6 linked regions of the Macaca mulatta genome follow. The protein of the gene in region 6 interacts with the protein of the main gene of each other region in a pairwise test. Links are inferred from orthologs where the notes say so. Each region holds a gene or a part of one and is shown on either strand. Other genes may lie near its edges.

The links.
Region 1: the proteins of TFG (region 6) and PEF1 interact in binary tests that used the Homo sapiens proteins (3 or more experiments, as listed by UniProt). The two-hybrid records come from large-scale screens. The link is inferred for Macaca mulatta from reciprocal best matches to the Homo sapiens genes TFG and PEF1.
Region 2: the proteins of TFG (region 6) and CSTF2 interact in binary tests that used the Homo sapiens proteins (3 or more experiments, as listed by UniProt). The two-hybrid records come from large-scale screens. The link is inferred for Macaca mulatta from reciprocal best matches to the Homo sapiens genes TFG and CSTF2.
Region 3: the proteins of TFG (region 6) and MAPK1IP1L interact in binary tests that used the Homo sapiens proteins (3 or more experiments, as listed by UniProt). The two-hybrid records come from large-scale screens. The link is inferred for Macaca mulatta from reciprocal best matches to the Homo sapiens genes TFG and MAPK1IP1L.
Region 4: the proteins of TFG (region 6) and BOLL interact in binary tests that used the Homo sapiens proteins (3 or more experiments, as listed by UniProt). The two-hybrid records come from large-scale screens. The link is inferred for Macaca mulatta from reciprocal best matches to the Homo sapiens genes TFG and BOLL.
Region 5: the proteins of TFG (region 6) and MAGED1 interact in binary tests that used the Homo sapiens proteins (3 or more experiments, as listed by UniProt). The two-hybrid records come from large-scale screens. The link is inferred for Macaca mulatta from reciprocal best matches to the Homo sapiens genes TFG and MAGED1.

The regions. Positions count from the first base shown.
Region 1 is NC_133406.1:209,249,126-209,253,275, forward strand, and holds the end of PEF1 (peflin), read left to right. Parts: intron 1-366; coding exon 367-510; intron 511-2,156; coding exon 2,157-2,386; 3' UTR 2,387-3,132; downstream 3,133-4,150. UniProt on the Homo sapiens protein: Calcium-binding protein that acts as an adapter that bridges unrelated proteins or stabilizes weak protein-protein complexes in response to calcium.
Region 2 is NC_133426.1:107,720,431-107,724,361, forward strand, and holds part of CSTF2 (cleavage stimulation factor subunit 2), read left to right. Parts: intron 1-485; coding exon 486-596; intron 597-1,400; coding exon 1,401-1,523; 3' UTR 1,524-1,526; intron 1,527-3,931. UniProt on the Homo sapiens protein: One of the multiple factors required for polyadenylation and 3'-end cleavage of mammalian pre-mRNAs. This subunit is directly involved in the binding to pre-mRNAs.
Region 3 is NC_133412.1:128,181,356-128,186,708, reverse strand, and holds the start of MAPK1IP1L (MAPK-interacting and spindle-stabilizing protein-like), read right to left. Parts: upstream 3,558-5,353; 5' UTR 3,411-3,557; intron 1-3,410.
Region 4 is NC_133417.1:102,702,111-102,707,557, reverse strand, and holds the start of BOLL (protein boule-like), read left to right. Parts: upstream 1-2,186; 5' UTR 2,187-2,761; coding exon 2,762-2,782; intron 2,783-5,447. UniProt on the Homo sapiens protein: Probable RNA-binding protein, which may be required during spermatogenesis. May act by binding to the 3'-UTR of mRNAs and regulating their translation.
Region 5 is NC_133426.1:51,752,534-51,758,132, reverse strand, and holds the start of MAGED1 (melanoma-associated antigen D1), read right to left. Parts: upstream 3,725-5,599; 5' UTR 3,714-3,724; coding exon 3,669-3,713; intron 1-3,668. UniProt on the Homo sapiens protein: Involved in the apoptotic response after nerve growth factor (NGF) binding in neuronal cells. Inhibits cell cycle progression, and facilitates NGFR-mediated apoptosis. May act as a regulator of the function of DLX family members.
Region 6 is NC_133407.1:182,890,923-182,895,840, forward strand, and holds part of TFG (protein TFG), read right to left. Parts: intron 2,423-4,918; 5' UTR 2,380-2,422; coding exon 2,196-2,379; intron 1-2,195. UniProt on the Homo sapiens protein: Plays a role in the normal dynamic function of the endoplasmic reticulum (ER) and its associated microtubules. Required for secretory cargo traffic from the endoplasmic reticulum to the Golgi apparatus.

The sequences.
Region 1 (4,150 bases), on a different chromosome or scaffold from region 6:
ACTGAGAGCTCTTTTCCTGAGATCTTTCTTAAGTTCTAGACCCTGCCTAGTTACAGGCTAACTCAGTTTCCTCTTCTGTAGAATGGTACTCCCTTCCCTGGTAGGAAACAGCAGGGAGGGGTCAGGTGCCAAGGCTGCAGAGAAAATGCAGTTCTGGATGGGGTGGGGCTAAAGGTGTCCAGAGTAGGAGGACGGTGCAACGCTTGATGTGGGTGTCTCAGGTGCAAGCATCTAGGCCCTAGGCCTTGGTTCTGTGAAGTCGCCTACTCCAGCCTGGGGAGAAGGGCTGCCTCAGTGGGGCCTGAGGGGGACCCTTGGCTTTCAGTCTTGAAGCCTTACTTCCCTCCTTTCCCTCCTCACCTTCAGACATGTTTGACAAGACCAAGTCAGGCCGCATCGATGTCTACGGCTTCTCAGCCCTGTGGAAATTCATCCAGCAGTGGAAGAACCTCTTCCAGCAGTATGACCGGGACCGCTCGGGCTCCATTAGCTACACAGAGCTGCAGCAAGGTGCGGGTCATGGCTGGGGCACGATGGGCAGGACAGAGCTAGACTCTTCTCTTTACACCCTAAGATACACAAAGGGATTTCCTCTTGCTACCGAATGTCCACCTGCACTACAGAATGCTGTTCTCAGTGCAGGCCTGCGTCCCTCACCCCTTCTGTGACCCAGTTGGGGCACTGAGCCAAGATCCAGGGCAAGGAAACACCTGGGTCCAGAATCAGGGCTGGACCCTGGAGTGCTGGGTGAGATGGGCCCAGCCACAGGGAGCCTTAAGGATGGAAAATTGGCACCTTAAGGGCTATGAGACCAGTGTGTGTGGCTGAGGTGACTCCTTCCTCTCCAGTTTCTAGCATGTAGAATGGTAAGAGCCCTGAACAGGGCTCAGAAAGATGGGCCTGTTGCCACCCCTGCTAGTGGGCAGTTTCTCTCCCAACTTTGGGACCCCGAGCACTCTAAAAGTTGCAGTTGGGGAAGATGACCTGAGGCCACAGCCCCAGGTCTGGTTCCAAACTGACTCTGTAAGGCAGGAGGCCACAGTTTGGGCTCAGGCAGGTTAGTAAGAGGTTGGGGGGGAGGACCCAAGAGGGAGCTTTGCCACCCAGGCGGGAGAAAGGGCTCCCCAGAGAGTCTAGTCCTTTGCCCAGGCTGTGGATTTCATTCAGACTAAGGAGGTCGGTGGACAGGAGTGAGTGCACCACATCTGCCCCCAGCAGAAGGGAGGGGAGATGGCCTATAGTAATGACCTACTCTTGCCAGCTTTTGCCATGGATATTAGTAAGGGTGATAGTAACCACAGCAAAACAGATATTTACTGAATGCTTGCTATTTTTAATAGGCTTATGTGATTCATTCTTCCCATGTGATGGTACTATTTATAATTCCACACCCTTCAATTAAGAATCCCTTATTATCTCCCTTTTACAGGTGAGAAAACTGAGGTTTAGTGTGGGTAACCTGCCTAAGGGCCTGCATAACAAATGGAGAGTTGAGGTTTTAGCCTGGCCTGGTAAGTTATGAACAGAGGAAGGAAGGAAGCAAGCATCCCAGTGAAGAGACAGGATGCTCCAAGAGACCTTGGAGTGGCGGTGACTTTATTAAAATAGCACTTACTGAGTGCTTTTTATGTGCCAGTCACTGTGCTAAGTAGCTTTACCCATTTTAATCCTTGCTAGAACCTACAAGTTAAGTATTATCCCCATTTTAGAGATGATAAGATAGGGATAGTGAGGCTAAGCAACTTGCCCAGGGGCTGACTCCAGAGCGGGTCCTCATACCTCTGCTGTGCTGCCTCTGATGTCTGCCCCAAGCAGGGTGGTCCTGGGAGCTCAGGCTTCCTTTTGGAATGCAAATGAGTCAGAGATGATTGTGGATAGTCCGTTGTCATCTCTGGAATCCCATGAGCCTCAGTTGAAGAGACAATAATGGAGACTGGGAGAAAGAGGGATGAGGGCCTTCCACCTAAGGGTAGCATCCAGACAGGGCCCCTGTTGTGTTCCTGATATCTTAGACCCTTGGGATTTCTCTGCCCTCTTTATGCTTCTGTGCCCGTCCTCTCGAAGTTCCTTGAACTGCTGTGATCCAGTATTGCTGATTGATGGAGGTGCTCATGGCAGGTTTTTGTGTGTCTGGTCTGTGTGCCCCTCTTCTCCAGCTCTGTCCCAAATGGGCTACAACCTGAGCCCCCAGTTCACCCAGCTTCTGGTCTCCCGCTACTGCCCACGCTCTGCCAATCCTGCCATGCAGCTGGACCGCTTCATCCAGGTGTGCACCCAGCTGCAGGTGCTGACAGAGGCCTTCCGGGAGAAGGACACAGCTGTACAAGGCAACATTCGGCTCAGCTTCGAGGACTTCGTCACCATGACAGCTTCTCGGATGCTATGACCCAACCCATCTGTGGAGAGTGGAGTGCACCAGGGACCTTTCCTGGCTTCTTAGAGTGAGAGAAGTACGTGGACATCTCTTCTTTTCCTGTCCCTTTAGAAGAACATTCTCCCTTGCTTGATGCAACACTGTTCCAAAAGAGGGTTGAGAGTCCTGCATCATAGCCACCAAATAGTGAGGACCGGGGCTAAGGCCACACAGATAGGGGCCTGATGGAGGAGAGGATGGAAGTTGAATGTCCTGATGGCCATGAGCAGTTGAGTGGCACAGCCTGGCACCAGGAGCAGGTTCTTGTAATGGAGTTAGTGTCCAGTCAGCTGAGCTCCACCCTGATGCCAGTGGTGAGTGTTAATTGGCCCATTATCGTTACTACCTGTGTTCCCTCACCAGGCCATCCTGTCACACGAGCCCATTTTCTCCAAGGTGGAATCTGACCAAGCATGAGAGAGATCTGCCCATGGGACCAGTGGCTTGGATTCCGCCACACCCATAAATCCTTGTGTGTTAACTTCTAACTGCCTGGGGCTGGCCCTGCTCAGACAAATCTGCTCCCTGGGCCCCTCTGGCCAGGCTCTGCCTCCGCGGCTGGGACCCCTCACTTGCCTGCCATGCCCTGCTCGGCTTCAGTCTCCAGGGGACAGTGGGCACCTCTCTCTGCCAATACTTTTTTTAATTTGCATTTTTTTTCATTTGGGGCCAAAAGTCCAGTGAAATTGTAAGCTTCAATAAAAGGATGAAACTCTGGGGTTCCATGTTTTCCACCGTGATTTCTCAGCTACAGGTCCATCCACTCCTCCTTTCACTGACTATTTAAGTACATCCTATACACCAGCCATGCGGAAAGCAGCAGCTTGTGGGGACATGGCCTATGTGGGGCTCCTATCCACTGCCAGAGGGAAGTGAATTGTAGGGTAGCCAGCTGGGGGCCCTGCCGGGTTCAGTTCAGTATGGCCTGAAGGTCTATTCAGGAAGCTATTTCATAGCAGTTTTAGGGCAGGCATTCTGGGTTGAAAGCAGCTACCTCAAACTTCATAGCCTGGCCTTTCTATTTTCTCAGGCCCTAGTTTTATCTTCCAGACAAACTCCATTTATTAAGTCATAACTTTCCCCCCATTTTTATTAAGCACAGACATCTGTACTTGCAAGTCAGATCTTTAGATCAGCATAATACCCAGTCTACACCGAGTGTCTGTAATGAGCTGACCACATTTCAATCAAAAGCCAAAGACACCAGACATTCTAGTTTGCCAGGGGGCTTTATTCTGGGTAATGGTGATTATCTTTTGGCTTTTTGAGATAAAGAGCTCTGAGGCCCTGTGCAGGGCTCTCCTCCCTGCAGTGGGTAGTTGGAAGTAACTATGACTGTTTTGCAGGTCAGTGAGGCCCAGCAGTGTGTCGGGCTTAGCCAGGTCAGCTGCATTCTCCTCTGGGCTGCTGTAGTGCTAGAATCCCAGCATTAGATGAAATCCGGTTCCCAGAGGCCAGCCCCTATCCAGAGCTATAATTCCCTTCATAGGCCCCATGTGAGTCTGGCCTCTGCTTCGCCAAAGGCAAAGAACCCAGTGCCTTTCCAGGCAGCCCATTTCCTCCATGACTGGCAGAACATCTTCCTGGTGTGGATTCTAAATCCTGCCATCTTGAAGACACCACCATTGGCTGTGGTTTTCTCTGTGGGCCACTCAGGACATACATCACCCTTTCTGCATGCCAACCCTCTACATAGTGGAGCCTGCCCTATATACCACATTTTCCCCAAGTCCTCCC
Region 2 (3,931 bases), on a different chromosome or scaffold from region 6:
ATTATGAACATCTCTGCCTCACTTGTGGGATAGGGCCCTTTGGGACAAACTACCTGTGTCTGATTGAACTAGGGTAGGGGGTGGCCCTGTGAATTTAACTTCCCCAGTGGACCAGAATACATTTTCTCTAGACTCTGTTGGCTTTCATTTGTGTTTCCAGTGAGCGCTAGTTTCCAGGGTGCTCTCAGTTCTCCCTTTGCTTATTTGGCTGAGTTTTGATTAATTCAGTGGTATCCAGTTGTGCTGTGTGGTATTTGTTGATGGTGCTGGAGCTGTTGTAAGCAAGTATGTCAAACTTACTAGTTGATCTCTGGCTAAACGCTGCCTTCTGCTATTGCTAACAGTAGAAAATGATCTTCAGAGTCATTAGTTTGCTGTTTTTACTCATATCTGTGTAGGGATCGTAATTTTTCACGTTATTACTGAATTCAGGTTAGCTATACATTAAAAATCCCAAAAATCTCTTTTTCTCTTTGTGCACATAGGTCCCAGTCATGCAGGGAACAGGCATGCAAGGAGCGAGTATACAGGGTGGAAGCCAGCCCGGCGGCTTTAGTCCTGGACAGAACCAAGTCACTCCACAGGATCATGAGAAGGTAAGCAACACTGTCTGACTGCCTCCTTATGCACAATTCTAGCCTTTTTGATTCCTCTTTTCACAGTTACCATGTGGCGATCCTGGGTCTTCAAAGTCCCTTTGGAGGTGATGTTTATTCTAACTTAGAACTCTTTTATGATCTTGTTACCTGAAAATTTGTGAGTCTGGTCCTGAAGTTGCTAATGGATGTGAAGTTCTTAAGTGGATGTAAATGGCAGCTTATTTTATAGTTCAGACTCATCTGCCAATAGCAGGTTTTTCTTGTTCAGGCCAGAGTGACCTGAAAATCCGCACCCTTTTTCCTTCCCTTTCTACTTTATCCCTAAAAACAGTAGTAGATTCCCCATGATTATATCTTTCTGTTTTTATATTTGACCATTGTGGGGAGCTTATGTCTGAGGGAAAGGCTAAAATTTGTGAAAAAGAGAGACTTTCAAAACAGGATTAAAACCTGAAGGATTTCCAGGGCTCACAGATATTATCTTAGTCTCCAGGAACTTTGAGTTCATGAAGTTGTCTGTTTTGAATCGTCTAATCTTAGGTATTTTAATTTATACTTGTTCTTTTCATTGTAGCTTTTCTCACCAGTTTTGTTTTTTTTTTTTGTTTTTTGTTTTTGTCTTTGTTTTGGAGGGGAGCTGTTGGTTTCTTGCTGTGTGAAATGTTCTTCCTTTTTCCATTTTGCTTCATATCCCACTACAGTAGCTTTTTGGATAGAAGCTGGTGGTGGGTTTTTTGTTTTGTTTTGTATTTTTTAGCTGCCATCATTAAAACTGACTACCTTTTTTTTTCCTCTACACAGGCTGCTTTGATTATGCAGGTTCTACAACTGACTGCAGACCAGATTGCCATGTTGCCTCCTGAGCAAAGGCAGAGTATCCTGATTTTAAAGGAACAAATACAGAAATCCACTGGAGCACCTTGATAGGTGAGCAAACTTAATCCCATCTGAGTAGGACTAGCTCCTTGTCTATTCTCAGTATATACTTTTAACCTTAACCAACAAGATTGTTCTCTCAGCGGCCCTCAATCCACTTAGCTAGACTCTTCTTTACCCTTCAGTAGGTTAGCTCCTGTAGGGATAGAGTAAGGCTATACAATATTTGTTCAGTTGTTGAATTGCTTATAATCTTTCCTAATGACAAAGGTAATGTATGATCAGTTTAACAAAAGTAATCGGCCGGGCGCGGTGGCTCAAGCCTGTAATCCCAGCACTTTGGGAGGCCGAGGCGGGTGGATCACGAGGTCAGGAGATCGAGACTATCCTGGCTAACATGGTGAAACCCCGTCTCTACTAAAAATACAAAAAACTAGCTGGGCGTGGTGGCGGGCGCCTGTAGTCTCAGCTACTTGGGAGGCTGAGGCGGCAGAATGGCGTGAACCCGGGAGGCGGAGCTTGCAGTGAGCCGAGATCACGCCACTGCACTCCAGCCTGGGAGACACAGCGAGACTCCGTCTCAAAAAAAAAAAAAAAAAAAAAAACAAAAGTAATCGTATATAGAAATGTAGAAAGTGAAAGGTAAAAAGCCCTGTTTCCTCTATCTTGTTCCCCAGACAAAACCTCTAAATATAGTTTGGTGTGTATCCTTCTACAATCAGTTGTATTATTTTATTCCAAACTGTCCTGTCAAAATGGAAAAAATACAGAGCATTTCAATAAAATGTGTAAATATTTTGTTTCCTGTATTTATTTTACAGTGAATATTTCGATGTTGAACTATTATAGCACATAATTTAAGGTAGTAAATGTCCATCATCACCATCAGTTTCTATATATTTTGGAGATCGCTGTACCCTGCTACCTTTATTTTTCTTGCTCATCATTTAGGCAGAAAGAATCCAGGGGCCAAGCACAGTGGCTTAGCCCTGTAATCTCAGCTTTGGCGGGCTGAGGTGGAAGGATTACTTGAGACCAGGAGTTCAAGACTAGCTTAAGCAACATAGTGAGGCTCCATCTTTACAAACACTTTTTTAAAAAATTAGCCAGGCATGGTGAGATGCGCCTATAGTTCCAGCTACTTGTGAGGCTGATGTGGAAGAATCGCTTGAGTCTAGGAGGTTAAGGCTGCAGTGAGCCATGATTATGCCACTGCACTCTAGCCTGGGTCACAGAGTGAGACCCTGCCTCAAAAAAAAAAAGAAAGGATCCAGGTAACCTGCTTCATAAATAATTATGTGACAACTTGATTACACATACATGTATCAGTGTTTCCTTTTAAAAAAAAAAATTTCCCCAGCATTTTGTATTTTATAAACAATTCTTTTTTCTAAAAACAGTTTAAAATTCACGTTGCCCCACTATCAGGTAGGACAGCACAATTTAAATTTCTACTTTTCACCCCATCCATATTATAATTCCTATCCTTATGTTATATAATAGTGAACTCATTTAACTATTAGTAATTATCACTCTTACAAAATATATCATTTTAATCCATATTTGTGATGTCTTTAAACGTTTAAACTGCAACTATGCATCATATATGTATTTAGACTTCAAATGAATTAATGAGAAGCTATCATAGATGGAGGGCTCTGTAGACTTTTGGTACCTTAACGTTTTATTCCACAAACCCCACATATTCTTTTTTTTTAAGTAAAAGTATAGACTACCTATTACATTCAGAGGAATAGATACAAATTATTTCTCTTTTACTAATTTACTTATGCCAGAGAAGGCATTCCCTACAATGTGAGAAAATTACTGCTTACTGTTTCTGGATAGTAGAGGTAGAAATGTTTCTGAAATTTCTTTCATTATATTTTTGCTTATAAGATGTTTAATTTAAGGCCTTGCATATTAACCACAGGGCAAAGTTTTTGTCTATTTTTTTTACCTTTTATTTTTAAATAATCATAGACTCAAGGAAAGTTGGAAAAATAGTACAAGGAGTCTCATATACCCTTCACCCAGTGTAGTACAAAACCAAGAAATTGACATTGGCACATTACTGTTAACTTGACTACAAACTCAGTTTTTACCATTTTAAAAAACCTGTCATAATTTGTGTGGTTCTATGCAATTTTTTGTGGGCAGGATTTTATTGTGTGTCTACTGGTGTTTGTGCATACCATGGCTGAAGTGTTGGCTTTTCCTTTTCCTTCATCCTATACCGAGCTAGTTGTGATCCATCTCTGCCATCACGGACAGGCTTCTATACTATTATCATTAGAGATGAATGGTTCTCAAACAGGGGCAATTTTGCCCCCTAGGGGACATTAGGCAATGTCGAGACATTTTTGGTCATCACAACTTTAGGGAGTATGGCATGCTATTGGAATTGAGTGGGTAGAGGCCAGAGATGCTGCTAAACATCCCATAATGCACAGGAT
Region 3 (5,353 bases), on a different chromosome or scaffold from region 6:
AGACCAGCCTGGGCAATATAGTGAGACTCTGTCTCAAAAAGAAAAATAAATAAAAATATAAAGCTATTCCAAAATATCTGATTCACTGCTGATTATTAAGATGAGGCCAATGTAACCTTGAACTCATAAAAAAAATGTATACTTAAGAAAGGCTTTCATTTTTTTTTCCTTTTTGGAATAATCTAAAGCGATTATTTCCAAAACTTTGTTACCATTTTATAGCATCGTCCGATCCACCCATCGTCTGAAAAATAATAATTTTTATTCTCTGAGCAGCAAGAATAGTAATTTTAAAACAGTACAAAATTTCTTTTGACATACACTAGAAAAGTAAAACATAACATTTTGGAAACTCTCATGGCTGTTAGGGTAAAAATGACAATTCAATCATGGGTCAGGGAGGAGGGTGGTTAAGAGAGTTGAACTCCATGAATTACTAGTGGAGTTCATGGATATTTCACAGAGCCTTCAAATTGTGACGGAGTAATAAACAGTATGGGACTACACAGTGATGAAACCCAGACATCAATCCTTTTTGACGGTATCTTTTGACAAAAATAAACTTCTCAATGAGACCATTTTCCATCTGTAGAAGTTATAGCTCCTGCCCACTGCACAGAAAATAGTAACACACTTAATCTATAAAGTGCTATATACATGTTAGATATTTATTAGGCGAAATTAAATAAAATCAAAATTTTGGGGTTGATTTGTTTAGTATGCATGGGATGATATGTATCATACTGAAAATATAAATTAATGGCTGGGCACAGTGTCTCAAGCCTGTAATCCCGGCACTTTGGGAGGCCCAGGGGGGTGGATCACGTGAGATCAGGAGTTCAAGACCAGCCTTGCCAACATGGTGAAACCCCATCTCAACCAAAAATACAAAAAATTAGCTGGGCACGGTGGCAGACACCTGTAATCCCAGCTACTTCGGTAGGCTGAGGCAGGAGAATCGCTTGAACCCAGGAGGCGGAACTTGCAGTGAGTGACTGTCTCCAAAAATAAAAAGTTATAAATTAGAATACATGCTAGTTTTCAGCATTGGCTCATTTATCTGATTATGTTCCATTTTTTACATTTGGGCAACTCAAAAACGGGGGTTTTGAAATGCTCAAAAATCTGAAACTTTTTGAGTGCCAACATGCCGCTCAAAGAAAATGCTCATTAGAGCATTCTGGATTTCGGATGCTCAACTGGTGTAATATAAAAAAAAAAATCCAAAATCTGAAACACTTCTGGTTCCAAGCATTTGGGATAAGGGATATGCAACCTGCAATATTTCTTGGCATTTAGTTATATATTTATTGGAACATATGTGCCAAACAATGTGTTGGGCTTTAGAGAAATTTTAGTATTACATGGAGATTCCTGAGATGTGCTGTCTTTTGCAGTCCATAAGGACCATAAGGAAAGAGCTGGGAGTAGAGGGCGGTGACATGGGTCCTAGGGAAAGAAGAGCAGTTGGTGTAAAAATTGGGAGAATCTGTGAGGAGGTATAAGCAGTTCAGATGGGTTAGAATATAGCAAGGGAAGGGGAAAGTCTTAGCAGAGAGACCTTAGACGAGGGTTTGAATTATTTCAGTAAGAGTCGGCTCATCTGAATGAACCTGAACTATAAAGAACAGGCCATACTGTTTGTAAAAAGCACGCAGTTAAAAACAAAAAACAAAAAACAACCAGACCAGTAATGCTGCGATGAACTAAATTGGACTCTGTCCAATCAAGTGCCTAAAATAATGCTTGGGTGGAAAACAGGTACCAAATTCTCTTTCCCTTGTATGTGGACATCTAGCTTATAGGTAAAAGAGTAAACGCTAAAGTATGACCATCCAGCTACAACTGCAGCTCTTCACTGGTTGGACTGGCCAGAGTTGACAAGTCCAACTCTCCAAACTCGAGGCAAAGGGAGATCAGAATCGTATCCACATCATAGATTTGCTCTAAGACTTATATAATAAACAAATCTCTTAGTCACTGCCTGGAATATAGCAAAACCTCAACAAATATTAGCTTTTACGATGCCTACTTTTAGGTCCATAAATCTTTATCTGCCCTTCTCAATCCAGAGACTTCCGAAAAAATAAACTTTCCCAAGTTTGGCACAAATCTTACATGGTGGCAAAATGTGACCTGAAGCTATTTATAGTTTCTATTCGCCCCCACTTAGAATGAATGCTCACATCTATTGCTGCAAATATTAATGTTGGATGATGCGGTGCCCCATTCTGCTGGGGGTGTTATCTCTCGTCTAACATGTCGTCTTTCTAAAAAGATGAAGATAAAATCCAAGTATTTTTGAATTCAAAACACACTAGCTTCAAAAGTTTCAGCTAAGAGACTGGGGATGGATATTACCCATTCCTCCTGGAGAGAGGAAAAGAACATTCCAATATTTGCAATTCACTCCAAGTTTCTGAAGCAAACTCGCTTTGCATTGTGGGCTCAGAGATGCCAGCATGAAAAATTTCTATTCTTCCCTCAAAGAACACCAGTGAACAAAGAACTTACAAAATGTTTCTGAAGGCTACCTTTGCCTGTCATGAGGGTTCCTTTTCAAAACAGACCTTTACAACCCCCAGGTGTGTATTTCTCTAGCAGTAAAACTAAAAAAAAATTTTTCGGTCGAGCGAGTCCGGCTTCATGCTTTAACACTGCAATCTTTACCTATTAAAAGCTGTACTCTTGCTTTTCAAGGTAAAGAGGAAAACGGTCCCCCTATATATAAGCTATCGTAGGTATGCGCTCTTCAGTCCTAAAAAGGAGATCCCTAAATTCTGCCCTTCTCGTGGTTTGCCCTGGGTATTCATCTAACGTATCCGTGGGCAATTCCTCTAGTGAGTCATAACCAGAGCGTTGTCACACTGCGGATTAACAAGCGCCCGAGATTCCTGTAATAATCTTTTCAGGCTTTTCCCTTTTTATTAGAAATTAATGAATGGGTGCAATGGGGTGGGGGTAGAGGGGAAATCGGGGCCAAAAGGCGCGAGGCCGGCAGCCTTTTAGGGACGCACGAACAAAGGGAGTCCGGGATCAACCGGAGCGAACCGGCCTCCGAGCGGGTCGCGCCCGCCGGGAAAGGGTGGGGGAGGGGCCGGCCCGCGCCCGCCCCGCCCCGCAGCCAGGCCTGACGTCAGGCGCCCAGAAACTCGTCGGGCGCGACGTCAGCGGCCTCCTACACCTTCTCCCTGGGGGGCGATCCCCAGGCAGCCCGCAGCGTGGAGGAAGGCGACCGAGAGAAACGCTTAGCCCCGGTCCCAGGCAGGCGACCACGGCCCGAGCACTGGACGTGACTCGATGCACCTCAGTTACCGCGCCCGCTTCCCGCTTGGCCGCGCCCGCGGGCTCCGCAACCCCAGCCCCCCGATTCCCCTTCACGACTCCCACTAGTACCGAAGCAGCCTCACCCGGCAATATCCGAGACCGCAGTAGGGTCTAGAAGCGGCGATGGGTCCGAGGGACTGGGCCCTGAAGAAGCGGGCGCAGCCTGACTGACGGCAGGGAAAGCAGCGGCGGCAACAGCACCAGCAGCGCGCGGCTCCTCCTGGCGCCGGAACAGGAAGCGCCGAGCGCACCGCCTCCGCCCGCTCTCCCCCTCCCCTCAGGCCGCGCCGCGTGCGCCTCCCGCAGGCCCCTGGCGGTACTGCGGCCCGCCAGACGCAGGGGGATGGGCTCCACCTGGCGCCGGCCCCGGGCCGCTTTCCCCTGATGGGCGGGCTGAAAGCTCCCAGAGTTTCCGGAGTTCCGAGGACTCAGAGGAAACGCCAGTGGTCGCCGGTGTTCACGGCATACCGGCGGAAATTGCTAACTTGTCTTGAGTTGCTTGAGGGCTGATTCTGGATTCCCTTTGCTCAGCGGTTTTTACAGCTAGGCCTCGAAGGAGGCTGGGTATGGACGCGGTCTGATTTCTGCCTGACCGAACGATTCAGATCCTCGGGCCAAAAGTGGGGAGAGGGAAAAGATTAATACAGGAAAGAGAAAACCTTTGCAAATAGCTTAACAAATTGATATTTGCTGTCTTTGCTGAGTTTTCCTCATCAATGCCTCTTCTCCTATGTTCTTTTTTGTGGTTTTTGAGACGAGGCATCTGTCACCCAGACTGGAATGCAGTGGCGCGATCTCGGCTCACTGCAACCTCTGCCTGGTGGTCTCAAGCTATCCTCCCATCTTAGCCTCCTAGTAGCTGGGACTACAGGCGTGTGTCACCACACCCGCTGATTTTTGTGTTTTTAGTAGAGATGGGGTCTCACCTTGCTAGTCTCAAGCGATCCGCCCTCTTCGGCCTCCCAAAGTGCTGGTATTACAGGCGTGAGCCACCGCGCCCAGCCACGATCTTCATTTCTGAATAAACATTACCTCCTGTGTCAGGCACAGATGACATGACCCCAGTCAAGGAACCTACTAACTAGCAATAAAGATGTCGTGACAATTATATGGTGTGCAAAATAGACACATATATGCAATATATGTATTTTTTTAGACGGAGTGTCGCTCTGTTGCCAGGCTGGAGTGCAGTGGCGCGGCGCTATCTCAGCTCACTGCAACCTCCGCTTCCCGGGTTCAAACGATTCTCCTGCCTCAGCCTCCCAAGTAGCTGGGACTACAGGCGCGCTCTACGTTGCCCAGCTAATTTAGAGACGAGGTTTCACCATGTTGGCCAGGATGGTCTCGATCTCTTGACCTTGTGATCCGCCTGCCTCGGCCTCCCAAAGTGCTGGGATTACAGACGTGAGCCACTGCGCCCGGCCAATATACATTTTTTTAACGTATAAAAATATCCTAAAAGCATGTGGTGCACTTGCATCTTGCTTTGTGTAAGGCATTAGTGAGTCAGGGGGTGGCCATTTAAAACTGTGAACTTATTTAAAGGAAGACATCCCTGGATGTATTCCACAGCAAACACAATTCTCACACTGAAAAAGGGGCAACAGAGGAACTTAAAATATCTAAGCCCAGAGTCTTATTTTTGGATAAGGGCACACAGGCCTATGGAAAATTACACGACTAGTGTGGACCTAGCCTGTCCTCACTGGAGACAGTGAATAAGCAGTGCTTTGTGGAGCCATGGTGAAGCCTGAAGCAACAAGAAATCAGCAATCCAGTCATGTTTGATTTGAAATTTGGTATCTTGCTCATCATAGGCTTTTTTTGGCATCAATTCTGATTTTACAATATTGCACCAAAACATTGTCTTCCTTAGTCTATTAGTCAAATATTTGTGCCCAAGTGCCTCACCATACCCTAGTCCTGGCACTGTACCAGTAATGGATAGCCTCCAACTTTTCCTTGCCTGCAATCAGCCAGTAGCTGAGCACATTGGAGGGGTCTAGATCTAGGCCATTCCTGTCCC
Region 4 (5,447 bases), on a different chromosome or scaffold from region 6:
ATTTAAAATACTTTGAGAACAGAGGTGTGATCTTGTTTATCAAGCTTGTCCAACTAGTGGCCCGTGGACCACATCTGAGTGCGGCCCAACACAAATTCGTAAACTTTCTTAAAACATTATGAGTTTCTTTGTGATTTACTTTTTTAGCTCATAAGCTATCGTTAGTGTTTGTATATTTTATGTGTGGCCCAAGACAATTTTTCTTCTTCCAGTGTGGCCCAGGGAAGCCAAAAGATTGGACACCCCGTTCTTCATCTTCATATCTCCTATATTATATTCCATTACGTACTGCATAGAATAGGAACTCTATAAGTGTCTACTAAATTGGGGTGCATTGCATAATTTTAAGGGGTTTATCCAAGTTTTAAAGTTGAACATTCCTTTTGGTGTAAGAATTAATAGTAAGAGGCAGAACAGAGAATTGCCATACTGAAAATAAAGTACCTCTAGTACCCAACACCAGCCTTGAAATACAGTTAGTGTTCCCTAAATTATGTAAATTTTTTTCAGATTAAACACCTACTGCGCCGAATACATTTTTTTAAGAGAATGCAATTCTTGAAAATAAGTGTTTTCAGTCAAAAAAGATTTGGGCAAGACAGGATAGTAACATCTACCCAAATCCATCAACAGTCCTAGGAAAAAAATAATGCCCAAAGAAGATTAGTTCTACTGGTATTGAACAGTAAAATTATTATGCTTTAGAATATGAGTTTTCATCTAAATAGGTTTGTATTCTCTATTTCCACAGAGACTTAAACCTGACAAAATGAGCTTAAATTGCGTGCAGAAATGTATAATGACTTTAGGGATTCTTCGGGTAAGATAAACAAAAATTGTTTCCCATTTTATTTTGGGTAAATAATATGAAGAGCTAATCTTTGAACAAATCAAAAATTAATATAGTTACTCTTTTTTTAATTCTATATCTTGAAGGCAAAGTAACCCAAAGTCAAACTTTTATAGTAGTGTGTACAGTAGTTATTACTGGTGTAACTTTTAATAGTTGTTACTGCTGATTCTTTAAAAATATATGGCAAAATGGTTAAGATCAAGAACTGTGGGTTGGGGGTAGACCCAGGGTTAAACCTCCTACAGCTTTAGATCTTGACCAAATTACTTATCCTCCAAATCTCTGCTTCATCACGTGCTATGACGATAATTGGAGCATCTATCTGAAAGGTTGCTGTGAAAAGGAAAAGATTAAATGATACTGATCATAAAGCATTGTGCCTGAAACAAAGTACTTGATAAATGGCAGCTATAATAATCATCATTACTATAAGTTTATCCAGTTGTAATCATTTTAGCTACCTACTAGAAATATGTATTCTTTCCAAAGCAGTCTTCTTTCAGCTAGGCATGGTGGCGTGGGCCTGCCTGTGGTCCCAGCTACTCAGAAGGCTGAGGTGGGAGGATCGCTTGAGCCCAGTAGGTCGAGAATGCAGTGAGCGTGAGATCGCGCCACTGCACTCCAGCCTGGGCGACAGAGTGAGCCTTCGTGTCTAAATAGTTAACTGGACGGGCAGGGTGGCTCACGCCTGTAATCCCAACACTTTGAGAGGCCAAGACAGGCAGATCACTTGAAGTCAGGATTTCAAGCCTGGTGAAACCCCTTCTCTACTAAAAATACAAAAATTAGCCGGGTGTGGTAGCAGGCACCTGTAATCCCAGCCACTCGGGAGGCTGAGACAAGGAGAACCGCTTCAATCTGGGAGGTGGAGGCTGCAGTGAGCCGAGATCGCGCCACTGCACTCCAGCCTGGGCGACAGTGCGAGACTCCGTCTCAAAAACAAAAATAAAAGTAATTAGTTAATTAATCATTAATTTTTTTTTAATGCAATCTTCTTCCAAAGGCGATCACAAGGCTGTTGGAGGCTGGAGCCGCTAAGTCGCCCCCTACCACGCGGGTGGCTTCGTCCGGGACCATTCCAGAGGCTGTGCCACTGCTGGAGGTGCTCAGCGGGGCCGGGACCCGCTTGGGGCACGGTCCGGGGCGGGCACCGGAGCCCGACTAGGCTGAGCGGCAGGTCCTGACGAAGCCACCCGCGCGGCCCCGCCCGCCTGGCGGGATGAGTGACGGCGGCAACAGGTGCAGAGAGGCGTCCGCGGCTTCTCAGGAGCCCCCGAGTTTGGCGCGTCAGGCCCCGAGAGTCAGAGTTTGACTCTAGAACCTTCTTCGCATTACACCAGTCTTCGGAAGTCGCCCGTCAATCGGCTTCTTCCAGCCCAGTAAAGGCTTAAGGTCACCTCAACCTCTCGAAACCCACCAGTCCCAGAGGCCGACTCTTCTCAAGTGGAGGAGACGGGAAGGCGTGCCGTGCATGGAGCTTTGCCCGACCGCTCGCTCTCTCCTCCCCAGCCGTCTGAGACCAGGCGAGAGGGGTCCCAGAACAGAGCTCTCGCTCCGCACGCCCCACGCCTGCCCCGCTGTGCCGTGCGCTCTGCCCCTGAGACGCCCCGGCTCGGAGTCCCAGAGCCGCAGCCGAAACTCGCCCGCCCGCGCCCCTCTCCGGCTTGCGGCGCCCGCCCGCACCGCCGCCTGCCACCCGAGGCGACGCCGTCTGCTTCTCCCCACCCGCCAGGTGGCAGGTTCAGGGCCCGGGTCTGAGCCTGCTCCCCTGCAGCTGCCACCGCCGCCCTCGCCGCCAGGGGGCGAGAGTCCCAGGCAGGACAAGCAGCGCTGCTGCCTTGGCGTGAAGGTGGTTTCAAACTTTAGGCTTCTCTTCCCTACCCGCGTCTCTGAAGAGCAGAGAGGAAGATGGAAACCGAGTCCGGGCAGGTGAGTACGGCGATCAGGGCCCCAGGGCGCGGGGTAGCGGGGAGAAGGAGCAGCGTGGAGCCGGTCCCTGAGCGCCTGGAGGGGCAAGGTGAAGACCCCAAACGCTCGCTATCTGGTTAGGAAGAAACGTGGCCAGGTGCCCCATCGACCGCTGCCAGGAGCCGCCCGCCCGCAGACCTCGTCTGGCTGTGTCATGGGGGTCAGGAAGGCGCCGCCACGGGGCCTGGACTGGGTGTAGACGGGCCAGGGGACCTCAGGCGCAGATGTTTCGGGAGGCGGCGGGCTGCCGGGCACCCAGCGGAGTCCGAGCAGATAAACTGCTTTCCCGCCGAAATTGGGCTAGGCAGCGTCTTTGACGCTCCCTCCGGCCGAACTTCGACCCATCGGCCCAGAGCGAGGAGTTGTCAGGGCGGTCGACGCCTCCACTCCCCGACTGGTCAGCGAGGACCGGAAGGTCTGAGAGACCTCGCGGGGGCCCGCCTGTGGCCCAGGTGGGATCCGGACACTGTAGCACTGGCTGTGCACCCGAGCCAGTCAGGGCGGACTTGGGGAAGTGAAGGAAGACGGCCCACACAGGCCCGAGCCGCAGCGGCAACGTGCCGTCCCGCCCCGCCCCGTCCCGCCGCCAGCAGCCAATCAGGGAGCGCCGCGCGAGGGTGGGGACCAGCTGCGCACGAGGCCAGCGGCGGGGTCTGTGCCGTTGAGGGTTCCCGCCACTGCTGCTGGCGGATTTGCGGGGCAAAATTTCTCGCTGGCTAGCCTTCTTTTCCCTCCCGCACTTTGGTGGGGAGGGGGTGGATCCTCGTTTTGGTGCCCAAGTTCACGATGACCCGAGAGAACTCGAGGAAGTTGTCGCCGCGGCCATTTCCCCCAGTGCCGCAACTTGCTGGCCTTGGAGGGGGAGGAGCGCCGAGGCAGTGACTGCGACGGTTAGCCCGCCCGTTCCTGCTGTCTTCCTTTGCAAAATAGATGCTAGATCTCGAGGTTGACTTAAGGGGAGGAGCCAGTGAGGGCACATTGCTTTGGAGGAGAAGTTTAATAAACTCTCTAGTGCTGGAAGTTTTAGCAAGCGGAGGAGACTTCAGACCCGACAACAGTCCCCTTCTAGATGCTTCCGTAACACGTGCGGAATTTATTGCTAGTTAGAATTTGAGGCTTTCTTTGTTGTTTAACTCAATGCATCACTAATTGTTAATAATGAACTTAGATGTTGCCTCTACCTAAGCCTTGCTATTGCTAACATTAAAATATTTCGTAGGCCTGGTGCGGTGGCTCACGCCTGTAATCCCAACACGTTGGGAGGCTGAGGTGAGCGGATCACGAGGTCAGGAGATCGAGACCATCCTGTCCAACATGGTGAAACCCTGTGTCTACTAAAAATACAAAAAAATTAGTGCACGCCTGTAGTCTCAGCTACTCGGGAGGCTGACGCAGGAGAATCTCTTGAACCGGGGAGGCAGAGGTTGCAGTAAGCTGAAATCACGCCACTGCACTCCAGCCTGGTGACGAGCGAGACTCCGTCTCAAATATATATATATATATATACACATACACACATGTGTATATATATATAGTAGACTGCTGTTATACTGTATTCTTTTGCCTTCAGCCTATTTGGCATATCGTGAGCAGGTCTCTCCTGAAGAAATGATTCACTTTTAGTCGTTCAACAGATACTCATTGAGCACCTGCTGTGTACTGTCAGTACTTTAGATGCTGCCGTGAAAAAAGCAAAACTCCTGCCCTAGTGCATTACATAATAGTGGAGACGGATAATGGACATAATAAGTAAATTATATCGTATGTTAGAAAATGATGAGGGAGAAAAATTAAGCAAAGCGAGCCCACATTAGAGCAGGAGCCTTAGGGACTGGAGGAGAGTGAAGTGAATTGAGTGTGAAAGGTTTTTCTTTTCTCAGGGAGTATCCTTTAGTTTCTCGAGATTGGAAATAAAGCACTGTTTACTTCCGTTCATTTCATCCTTCCCTCGATGAAATATAATGGGGTTTGTCTTTTACTTAAACTTGCAAACAAATTAGTACATCTTATTTTCAATAAGAGAATTTCATGAAGAATGATTTTTTTAATTTAGCAAATAGGTAACTTTGACACTGTAAAAAAATGGGCAGAAAGACAAGATTACATCTAGTAGTGCTGTTATATTATTTCTAGCAATACAAAATCCACAGTTGAAAAATACTAAGCATTCCAGAATTACCCATTCTGAGCATTATATCCTACTGAGCAAAGTGACTGATGTCACAAATAACCTCCAAGTGCCCAGAGAGAAAGTTGTTAAGATTAGATTCCCAGTTTCTTTCATTGGAAACTACAACATAGTAATTATTAAATGTGGTGGCTTTTCCGTGTTTTAAAAGAAGTATTTACGTATTCCCTTATTAGGAGTATGTACTTCCTTAAGGCTGGATGGAGAAGAGAGCCCATAAGGTCCAGCCTATAGCCCAATTGCCACTCCTGCCCTAGTCATTTCTCTGTACATCTTGCAAAGATTAATTGAGGGATTGTGATTGTATTGACCAGAGAAGAAAGAACACAAATTTGAAAAAGAACAACTCTATTACCTGAACTGGAAATTCATTTTCATGTGTTTGTTTCTCAGAGAATTTGAATTATGAACTTCAAGATTTGTTATTTTCTTTTTCTT
Region 5 (5,599 bases), on a different chromosome or scaffold from region 6:
TGGTATAGATGCCTAAAGATTCTAATGCAGCATCTACATTTCTTTAAATATCAGCTTCACAAATGGCTATTGAATGGCTTGGGCCTGTTTCTTAAACTTCTCCAGAAAAAAAGTTAATTACCGACACTAAGAGTAAATGGGGTTTCCTAGGCAACAGTTTGTATTTTATTGATTCTTAACTATACAGAACCTTTGCATCTTTCTGGAACAAATATATGGAGTTAATTAGAGTCATTAGGCCGGGGTATTACAGCACTGAGACAGCAGAAAGTAGTAAACAGCCAATCCCTGGCCTGCAGCCAACAAAACTCACGGGATAGCAGGAATCACGTAACTTTAATCTAGTAAATTAAATTCCTCAAAACCAACCTGCTAAGAGGGCTACAATTTTAATCCCATCTTTTCCTATAGTGAAATATCTACTGTTTGTAACTTTTGTTGATAATGGTTACTTAGCTAGCATAAATAATTGAAATGTGAACACTAAGTGCTAGAAATGTCTTTGTGGTCATTTAAATGAACCGACTGACAATTGCATTTAATACTCTCATATTAGTTACGAGCAGAGAAGTACAGTGCAGAAGAAGCCTGGGCTCTAAGTGCCAGGTTTCTTAGACTCGAATCTCAGCCTCACCATATATTATGTGCAACCTTAGGAAATGTATTTAACCTCATTGTCTCTCATATGTAAAGTGGGGATAATAACAGTACCTACCTCTTATGTTTGTTTTGGGCCTCTCATGCATTAATACAGGTAAGTACTTTGAAAGATGGCATACGATAAATGTTGCTTGACAGTTTTTAAGCACTAAACTGTTACTCAATATCTTAAGGGCTTACAGGAAATTCTTGTCAAACAGCACTTGTAAACTGATGTGAAAGAAGAGCACAAAGTCTTCATTGTAAAAAACAAATAATGACATTAGAAATGTGTTCCCCCTTTAATAATGGGAGTCAGGAATCACTGCTATCATCCCTTTCATTCATTATACTGAAGACCCTATCCAGAGGTGCGGGAGGAAGTAGGAGGAAGGAGGAAAAGGAGAAGGCAGAAGAGAGTAAGGATTAGAAATGAATAAAGGAAACTATTAATATTTAGAGTTGATAAGATTCCCTACATAAAAAACTTATGAGAATCTTAACCCTTTCTAAACTCTCAGCTGAACTTGTACTTCTGGGCAAGATGGAATGACAGAGACCATTTACCCAACTAGTTGAAAAATTAAAAAGTAAATTGTTTTCAGAACAATAGATATCAGGTAGTGAGGGCCAATAATCCTTGAGAAATGGTAAAGAAACAAGGTGACCCTATAAATGCCCCAGCATACTTCCCTGAGAGAATTTTCAGATTATGCCACAGGCAAGGGTAATAACTGAGACAGAACCTGGCAGATCCCCTGAGGTAAGAAGACAACACTCAGAGTCCAGTGAGAAGGCAGCTAAAATCTGCAGGTAATAGTTAGCAGAATGGGGAAACAGTGCAGAAAAAGAACTCCTGAGATTTGTAAAGGGTCCATTGAGTATTCAACAGAGTATACATTAGTGTATATAGAGGAAACTACCCAAGGCAGGGGAGAGAACCATTTGAAATCACTAGAAAGAACACTTTTCATCACTTACACTGGGACAGGAACAGCACCTGTTACCAACAGCCAGCAAGGAATAATTTTCCATAGACTGAGCACCACCCTGGTTCCACCTAATCAATCTTAAAAGCAAGACATAAAAGGATCAAACTGTTTCCATGTAGTTTCATCATATTCCAGAATAAAGCTCAAGAAATTTTTAGTTATATAAAAATATCTAGCATCCAACAAGGTAAAATCCACAAGGCTTGAATGTAAACAAACATCACCAGCAATGCAAAGAAGCTTGAAATTATTTTTTTAAAAAAATCAATAAATTGAAACCAACCAACAATTGATGCAGATGTTAGAGTTACCAGACACGGACATTTAAAAAGTTATGACATAATCTATTCATTTACAAAGTTAAGTAGAGGCATGGAAAACTATAACAAAGACGCCCAAATTAAAATTTTAGAGATGTAAATAATAATATCTGAGCTTAAAAATACGCCAAATTGGATAAATGACATATTAAACTATGGAAAAGGAAAGATTAAAGAATTTGAAAACAATGGAAATAAGAATCATCCAAAATGAAACCGACAGAAAAGAATTTTTTTGAAGTATGAAGAATATCAGTGGACTGTTGAACAATGGCAAGCAACTTAATACACAGGTAATTAAAGTCCCCAAAGAAGATGAGAGGAGTATTAATACTTTTCACCCGGCAGATCCCCTGAGGTAAGGAGATGATTCTCGGGAGAGGAAGGCAGCTAAAATTCTTAGCCACTGTTTCTTCATATGTTACTATTAATTGTGGGTTTTGCCATTATTTTAGTGATAATTTTAACCCCCAAATCAAAAAATATCAACATATTTGGTGCAAAAGAAACATGAAGGAAACTACAAGGCTCATCACAATCAATCTGATTAAGAGATTTTTTTAAAAACTCTGGAAACAATGCAGGAAAAACAAAAAGACACATTAATAACAAAGAAACAAATAAACTAAATTAGTACAATCCCCAACTTATGATGGTTCAACTTATGCTCTTTCAACTTTACAATGGCGCAAAAGCGATATACATTCCATAAAAAATAAACTTTGAGCACCAATACAGCCATTCTGCTTTTCACTTTCAGCACAGTATTCAATAAGTTATATGAGCTATTCAACATTTTATTATAAAAGAAGCTCCGTGTTAGATGATTTTGCCCAACTGTAGGCTGATATTAAGTGTTCTGAGCATGTTTAAGGTAGGCTAAGCTAAGCTACAATGTTTGCTAGGATAAGTGTATTAAATGCATTTTCAACTTACAGTATTTTCAACTTAAACAGGTTTATCGGGATTTAATCCCATTGTAAATCAAGGAGCATCTGTATAACCTTCCCACAAGGAAATTTTAAAGAGTCAGATGACTTCGCTAGCAAATTCTACCAACATTTTAAAAAGAAATAATACCAGTACTACACAAACTTTTCCAGAAAATTAAAGAATAGCAAATACTTCCTAACTCATTCTATGAGGCCAGTATGGTCCTGATACAAAAACCAGACAAAGACATTACAAGAAAAGAAGTAACTTATACAACAAAAAATAAATAGATCAAAGTCCTAAATGGGAAAAATCAACTTTAAAGGTTTTAGAACATTTAGAAGAGCATTTTTATAACCTCCAAATCAGAGAAATATTTCTTAAAGATACAAAGATCAATCATAAATAAAAAGACTGGTAGATTTGATCAAAATTTATATCAAAATTCATCACCTCTGTACTACAAAAGAAACCGTTAAGGTAAAAAGACTAACTACGGACTGAGAGCAGATATTTGCAACACTAACAAGGAATCCATATCCAGAATATAAATGTAACTTCTACAAATCAATAAGAAAAAACAAAAAGTATCCATAGAACCATTGTTTTCAACTATAAAAAAAAAGGAAACAACCTAATATCCATTAACAAAAGAACACTGAAATAATTTTTTGAATACTCCACAAAGACGGGATGGACACCAGTTCAAAATTTGGTTTGAATGTCAACACCAATGATACCAAACAAACACACACCAACATTCATAAAAAAGCTGATTACTCACATAATGAGGTTTTCTGCAGAGAGCAGGGGTGGCTCTCAGACACATCCAAACATGGCTTTATAAAGCAAGGAGAGAACACTGGCTTGGGTTTTTATGGTGGTTGGGGGTGGGGCTGGGGTGAGGATTCTCACCTGTGGTTTGAACTTTACACTGGTGGTAAAGAACACTGCATCATGGCTTTCTTATCTTGCTCAGATGTGGGACAGAGGGAGAACAGGGAGAGATAAGACTTCAAAGCTGTCAGCAGTCAAACATTAAAAATGGAGTGAGACTTTTAATTATGATTTTATACGAGATTATAAATAGATGCATGAGTTTTATATTCATTAATGAGCCTGACAAATACCATGATGAACAATAAAAAAGCAGGTTTGTAGAAGAATGCATACATTTCTGCCATATAAATAATGTTCAAAAAAGCAAAATAATTTCATATATTTCAAGTGATATTTATATAAGTAGGAAAATCAAAAGAAATGCAAAGGAATGATAAATACTGAATTGAAGATAATGGCAACATGTAGAGAAAAAGGAGTAGGATGTGATTGGGGGTTCATAGAGGGGACTTCAATTGCATTGCGATTTTCTAAATGTATTGAGTTAGGCAATAAATGCAAAAGTGTTCATTGTTTTATTATTATTTACACTTTTCTGCATGTTTTAATATTTTGTAATTTTATAAAGTGGAAGTCAGCTTTTAATACATATAGTGCCCCTAGTTAAATATCTTTAAATATCCTGACTATGGTAAAGTCTCAAATCAAATAAATCTTAAATTACTTGGTGTTCTCCAGCTTCTGACAACCACAGAGAAAAAGTAGACACTTTACTAATATGAATAACACTAATAAATGAAATTTAATAAAACAAGTTTTCTCCTATATAGATTAAGAATCTTCAAACATAATTTAGTTACAAGTATTTAATTATTCAGATAAAAGTTACAAAATGGTTAGCATAAAAAGTAATGACAGATGAAACCCTGTAGTACTTAATGTAAAAAAACTGATTCAGCAACAGCACACTTACTGAGATTTTTTAAGAAATTAAAGGTACCTCACATTCGAGGAATATAGAAAAAAATTAAATGTATGTGTGTGGGGTGGGAGAGATTGGTTGACTGACTTATGGTATCAGAGAACAATTCCACTATTTTATTCCTGTAGAAAAAAAAAAAAAAAAAAACGACAAAAAACTAGCCGGGCGATGCGGCGGGCGCCTGTAGTCCCAGCTACTCGGGAGGCTGAGGCAGGAGAATGGTGTGAACCCGGGAGGCGGAGCTTGCAGTGAGCTGAGATCCGGCCACTGCACTCCAGCCTGGGCGACAGAGTGAGACTCCGTTTCAAAAAGAAAAAAAGAAAAAAAGAAAAACGAAATAAAGTAATTTCTACCACTTTTTACCTCCTGAAATCTAACCACAATATAACACCTTAGTTTAATAAACATCTCAAAGGATTCACATATGGGATTTGTCAACTCAAACTTTTATTCTTCTTCTACTTTCTTACTAACTTTCACGAATTAAATGTAGCCCCAAACTACCATTTATAAGAAAATTACATTCCAAAACAGTTTTCCATTTAAAAAAAGAAAATGTCGTAAATGGTAATTAGGTACTTACGTTGGACTACATAAGATTGTTTGACCTATGTTGGTGCTGAAATTTTCCAATACTGTTATAAAGACCACTAATAAAACAATGTGCTTTTATGAGAAATTAACAAAAGAGGGCTAACACTGAGACGCTAAGAACCTATCTTCCAGTGCTATATCCCTAGTAGTACTGCTGATTCTCCTACCCATCTCCCTGATATCCCATTTGGCTCCCAGTATGAGTAGAACTTCCTAGTAATTCCTGAAGAGTGAAGGCTTGCAGAAGTAGGGCTGCAGAGGTTTTAGCAGGTGAGGAAAAGAAAAGATAAGAAGACACG
Region 6 (4,918 bases):
AATAAAGTTGTCGGAAACAAAATAAATACACAAAAATAAGTAGTGTTTCTATACAAATACAAAAAATAAAAATAAAAAATGCAATCCCATTAACCATAGCTACAAAAATTTTTAAATATCGAGGAAGAAGTTTAACGAAGATGAAAAACCTCTACAAAAAAAAAACACTGATGAAAGAAACTGAAGAGCTGACATATGTAATGACATCCCATGCTTATAGATTAGAAGAATATCATTAAAATGACAAAACTACTCAAAGCAATTTACAGATTCAATTCAATCCCTATCAAACCACCAATAAAATTATTCACAAAAATTTAAAAACAAATCATAAAACTTGTACAGAACTACATAAAACCCCAGACAATCAAAGCAATACTAAGCAAAGAACAAAGCTGAAGGTGTCACACTTACTGACCTCAAAATACACTACAAAGCTGTAGTAAGCACGGACTGGCATAAAAATGGACCCACAGAACAACAGAACTGACATAAAAACAGACCCATTGACCAAGAGAACACATAGATCAACGGAACACATAGAACAACGAAACAGAATAGAGAACCTGGAAATTAATCCATGTTATCTATGGTCAACTGACTTCCGACAAAACCACCAAGACCGCTCATTAGGAAAAGGATAACCTCTTTAATAGGTCGGGAAAAGATTTCAAGAATAAGACCTCAAAAGTGCAGTCAATAAAAGCAAAAATAAATACGATTATCTCAAACTGGAAAGCTTTTCTGCACAGCAAAGGAAACAAGAGAGTGAAAAGAGAACTGACAGAATAGGAGGAAATACAACTACACATCTGACAGAGGATGAATATTCAGAATATACAAGGAACTCAAACATCTCAACAGCTAAAAAACAAACAATCCAATTTTAAAATTGGCAAATGATCTGAACAGGTATTTCTCAAAAAAAGACATAGAAATGGTCAATAAATATATGAAAAAATGCTCAACATCACAAATCATTAGGGAAATGCACACATATCAGGAAAATGAAGACCACAATGAGGTTCACCCCAGTTAGGATGGTTATTATCAAAAAGACAAATAACAAATGCTGGCAAGAACGAAGAGAAAAGGGAACTCATATATTATTGGTAGGAATGTAAACAGTACAGCCACTATGGAGAACAGTATGAAGGTTCCTCAAAAAACTATAAATACAACTATTTATAGATGTATTTATAGTTTTTTATAGTTTTATGGAAAAACCTATTTCCATAAAGAGAATTTTGTCAACAAATGTGTCTGGGAACACTGCATACTACAAACTTCTGAAAACGTATATAAACGTATTATAATCTGAAAACTTCTAAAGAAACACTTTTGTCTTTGCTTAAACCAGCTTTCCCATACTTAGTTGACCATGAAAGCCTTTTTCATTCCATGCATACTAAAACCTTTCATTTTGGGAAATAAGAATAGAAAAAAAAATTTTTTTCAGGCTAAAAGAAACCAGAATTATATGGACAAAAGGAGAAAACAATGCTTGTAAAAATGTATGTGAAAATGTTCTAACACTTAAAATTCCCTTCTAATAAACCACTTAGCAATTTTTTTTTTTTTTGAGACAGAGTCTTGCTCCATCACCCAGGCTGGAGTGCAGTTGAGCGATCTCAGCTCAATGCAAGCTCCGCCTCCCGGGTTCAAGTAATTCTCTGCCTCAGCCACCCAAGTAGTTGGGATTACAGGTGCATGCCACCACGCCCGGCTAATTTTTGGCATTTTTAGTAGAGACAGGGTTTCACCATGTTGGCCATGCTGATCTCGAACTCCTGACCTCAAATGATCCACCTACCTCAGTTTCCCAAAGTGCTGGGATTACAGCATGAGCCACTGTGCTCGGCCCCACTTAGCTATTTTTAACTGATAAGAGAATTATAGTAACTATATGAACATCGCATTCAATACAAGAAAGGGCCCAACCACCATGAAGGAGAGGACGGGAAAGAGTCCAATAAAAATGGGCAAAATAACATATACAATACTTAAGACTTTAAGGTCAGGCATGGCAGTTCATGCCTATAATCTCAGCACTTTGGGGAGGCCGAGGCAGGATTGCTTGAGCCCAGGAGTTTGAGGTGACACTCCAGCCTGGGCAACAGAGGCTCTGTCTCTTTAAAAAAAAAAAAAAAAAAAAAAAAAAGGACTTTAAAAAATAGCTTTAAAAACACTCTTACCTTCATCTTTATACTTTATTGTTACTTCATCATTACTCAGAAGTTTTCCTCTGAAAACTCGTTGCATCATTAGCACTAATTCATCATAAGTAATATCTTCATTATGAATAGGAATTCGCCGAATATCCTCCCCAAGTTGAGCTTTGATGATTAGCTTCCCGCTCAGATCCAACTGTCCGTTCATGGTGGACTCCAGGATGTTCTATATATACAACTCTAGAGAAAGACTGATAAAAATGGTTTTGATAACTAAACAACAAAACATATCTTAAAAGTTGAGAGCAATGCTACTATTAGATGCTAAGAAACTCCGGCCTCCAAAAGATTCATTATCCCCATGTTACAATATTTATGTTAAAATGGTCTGGAGGCAACATTATTTTACTTTAGGGATAATAAAATAAGCTTTTATGTCTACTATAATTTTTTCTCATATTTAACTGTTCATCTGACATTACCATTTAGATTTTTCTTACTATATCTAAAAATAAATTCCTGATCTCTCATCTAAAACTGCCTCTCCTATAGGCCTCTTTATCCTACTTCTTTGAGTTGTATAAGACAAAAAAACCTTGGCTGATCTCTTTCACTCAAACCTTATATCCAAACTGCCAACAAAATATGGTTGCCACTACCTTTAAAATAACTTTGGGGTCCAACCACTTCAGCACCTTCACTGCTATCAACTTGACTCAAGCCACCATCATCACTTGCCTAAACGACTAGAAAAGACTCCTAACCAGTCTGCCTGCTTTTTACCTTTGCCCACTTTTAATCTAGTCTCACCATCACAGTTAACGCTGTTAGGTAAAACCTAGCATCATTCTGTTCAAAACCTTCCAATGCATTCTCATCTCAAAAAGCAAGACCTATAAAATCATCTGGCCTCTGGTCCCTGGCCAAGTATTTAACTTCATTTCCTACCTCTGTTCTTCACTCACCCCTGCTATACCCATACTTCACGTTTTCCCTTTGTCTTAAAACTTTCTGATACCCCTCATATGATTCAGATTCCTTATCAATTGTGAACTGAGAGAGGTCTTTGCTAACCATCTAATTTAAAATGGCTCCCCTGTCATTATCTTCTTATCCTGCTTTATTTTTCTTCAAAGCACTTAACACTACCAGACATCAAAAATTTGTAACTTTTTATTGTCTTTTCCACTTGATGGCAGGAAGTAAACTATTATGTTTTCTGTATTCCCAGAGCCTACAACAGTGCCTGGCAGACAATAGTCATCCTATAGCTGTTAAATAAAGGGAAAAATAACTACTGGCTTTAAAACTCTATTATCCTATAAACTGTAAATGCTAACTCTGAAGACAGAGTTATGTGTGAATACTCAAATAGAGCCTCAAGTTTTTCTAAGAAAGATCTCATGAGTATGTCTTTAATTTCCTCTCTACGTGGGGGAACTGAAGGAGAAAGGACAAATTAGTAACACCCATCTGAACTGTTTAAAGACTGTCCACTACTGTGCTGCATACTCCCTAACTCTCCCACCTGGGTGGGTGTGTATGAATGGACTGTATACTTTATTAAATAAGACAGTGTCAAACAACTAGCCACTAAACACTAATTCGTTACAGAATTTTCCCTTAGGTTTTATTTTAATCTTTGATTTTATTCAGTATGACTATCCTGTAATGACTGTATTTTTGTTTATTTATTTCTTTTTTTTGAGATGGAGTCTCACTCTGTCACCAGATTGGAGTGCAGTGGCACACTATTAGCTCACTGCAGCTTCCGCCTCCTGGGCTGAAGGGATTCTCGTGTCTCAGCCTCCTGAGTGGCTGGGACTACAGGCATGTGCCACCACGCCCAGCTAATTTTTGTTTTTTTCAGTAGAGATGGGGTTGCACCATGTTGGTCAGGCTGCTCTCGAACTCTTGACCTCAAGAGATCCACACACCTTGGCCTCCCAAAGTGCTGGGATTACAGGCGTTAGCCACCAAGTCCAGCCATGACTGTGTAATTTTAAATTCAAAATAATGTTGAAGGTCTCTAGCAAGTTAAATAGTTGCTAGATAATAAGGGAGGATATACTTATCAAATAATGGGTTAATATCTCTTCTTCTCAAGGCCAAGATGTTCCTGAATGTTATCTATAAACGCTGAACATTTCCTAAGCATCAACTCCTTCCTCCTCCTGCCCCAAGAAAATGATCTGAGACATTTAAAGGTGTCCAAAAACACCTACTGGCCACATTCTAGTTTCAACTTCCCGTCTTACTACTAGCAGCTTTCTGCTTCCTCTTCTTAAATCTGTTATTTCATTAACACCACACTTCTCTGCAATTATTGTTTATTCTTTCGGGGTGTGTGAAAGCACTCACCTACTCCCCCAGCAGATCAACCCTTCAAGTACTTGAAAAAAGTTTCCATGAATCCTATTATATGAATATTATATATTAATGCCCTACTATTCTTCATATAAATACCCTTCGTCCTTTCACCTAACTAGTCCTTAAATTAGTATCTCTAGACCCCTCACCATGCTCTGAACAGATATTTTATTAATAAATCTTCAATGAAATGGGTCATTAAAACTAAATATAACACTTTAAGGTCAATGCAGAATAGAGTGAACTGCATTCCACTCTAGAGATGCCATGCTTATCTTAACGCAAAGTAAGAATACAGTTAGTTTTTTATCTGCCAGTTCTTACAATGGACTTCTCATGAAGACAGTGATTAACAGAAATCTCCATACAATCAACTC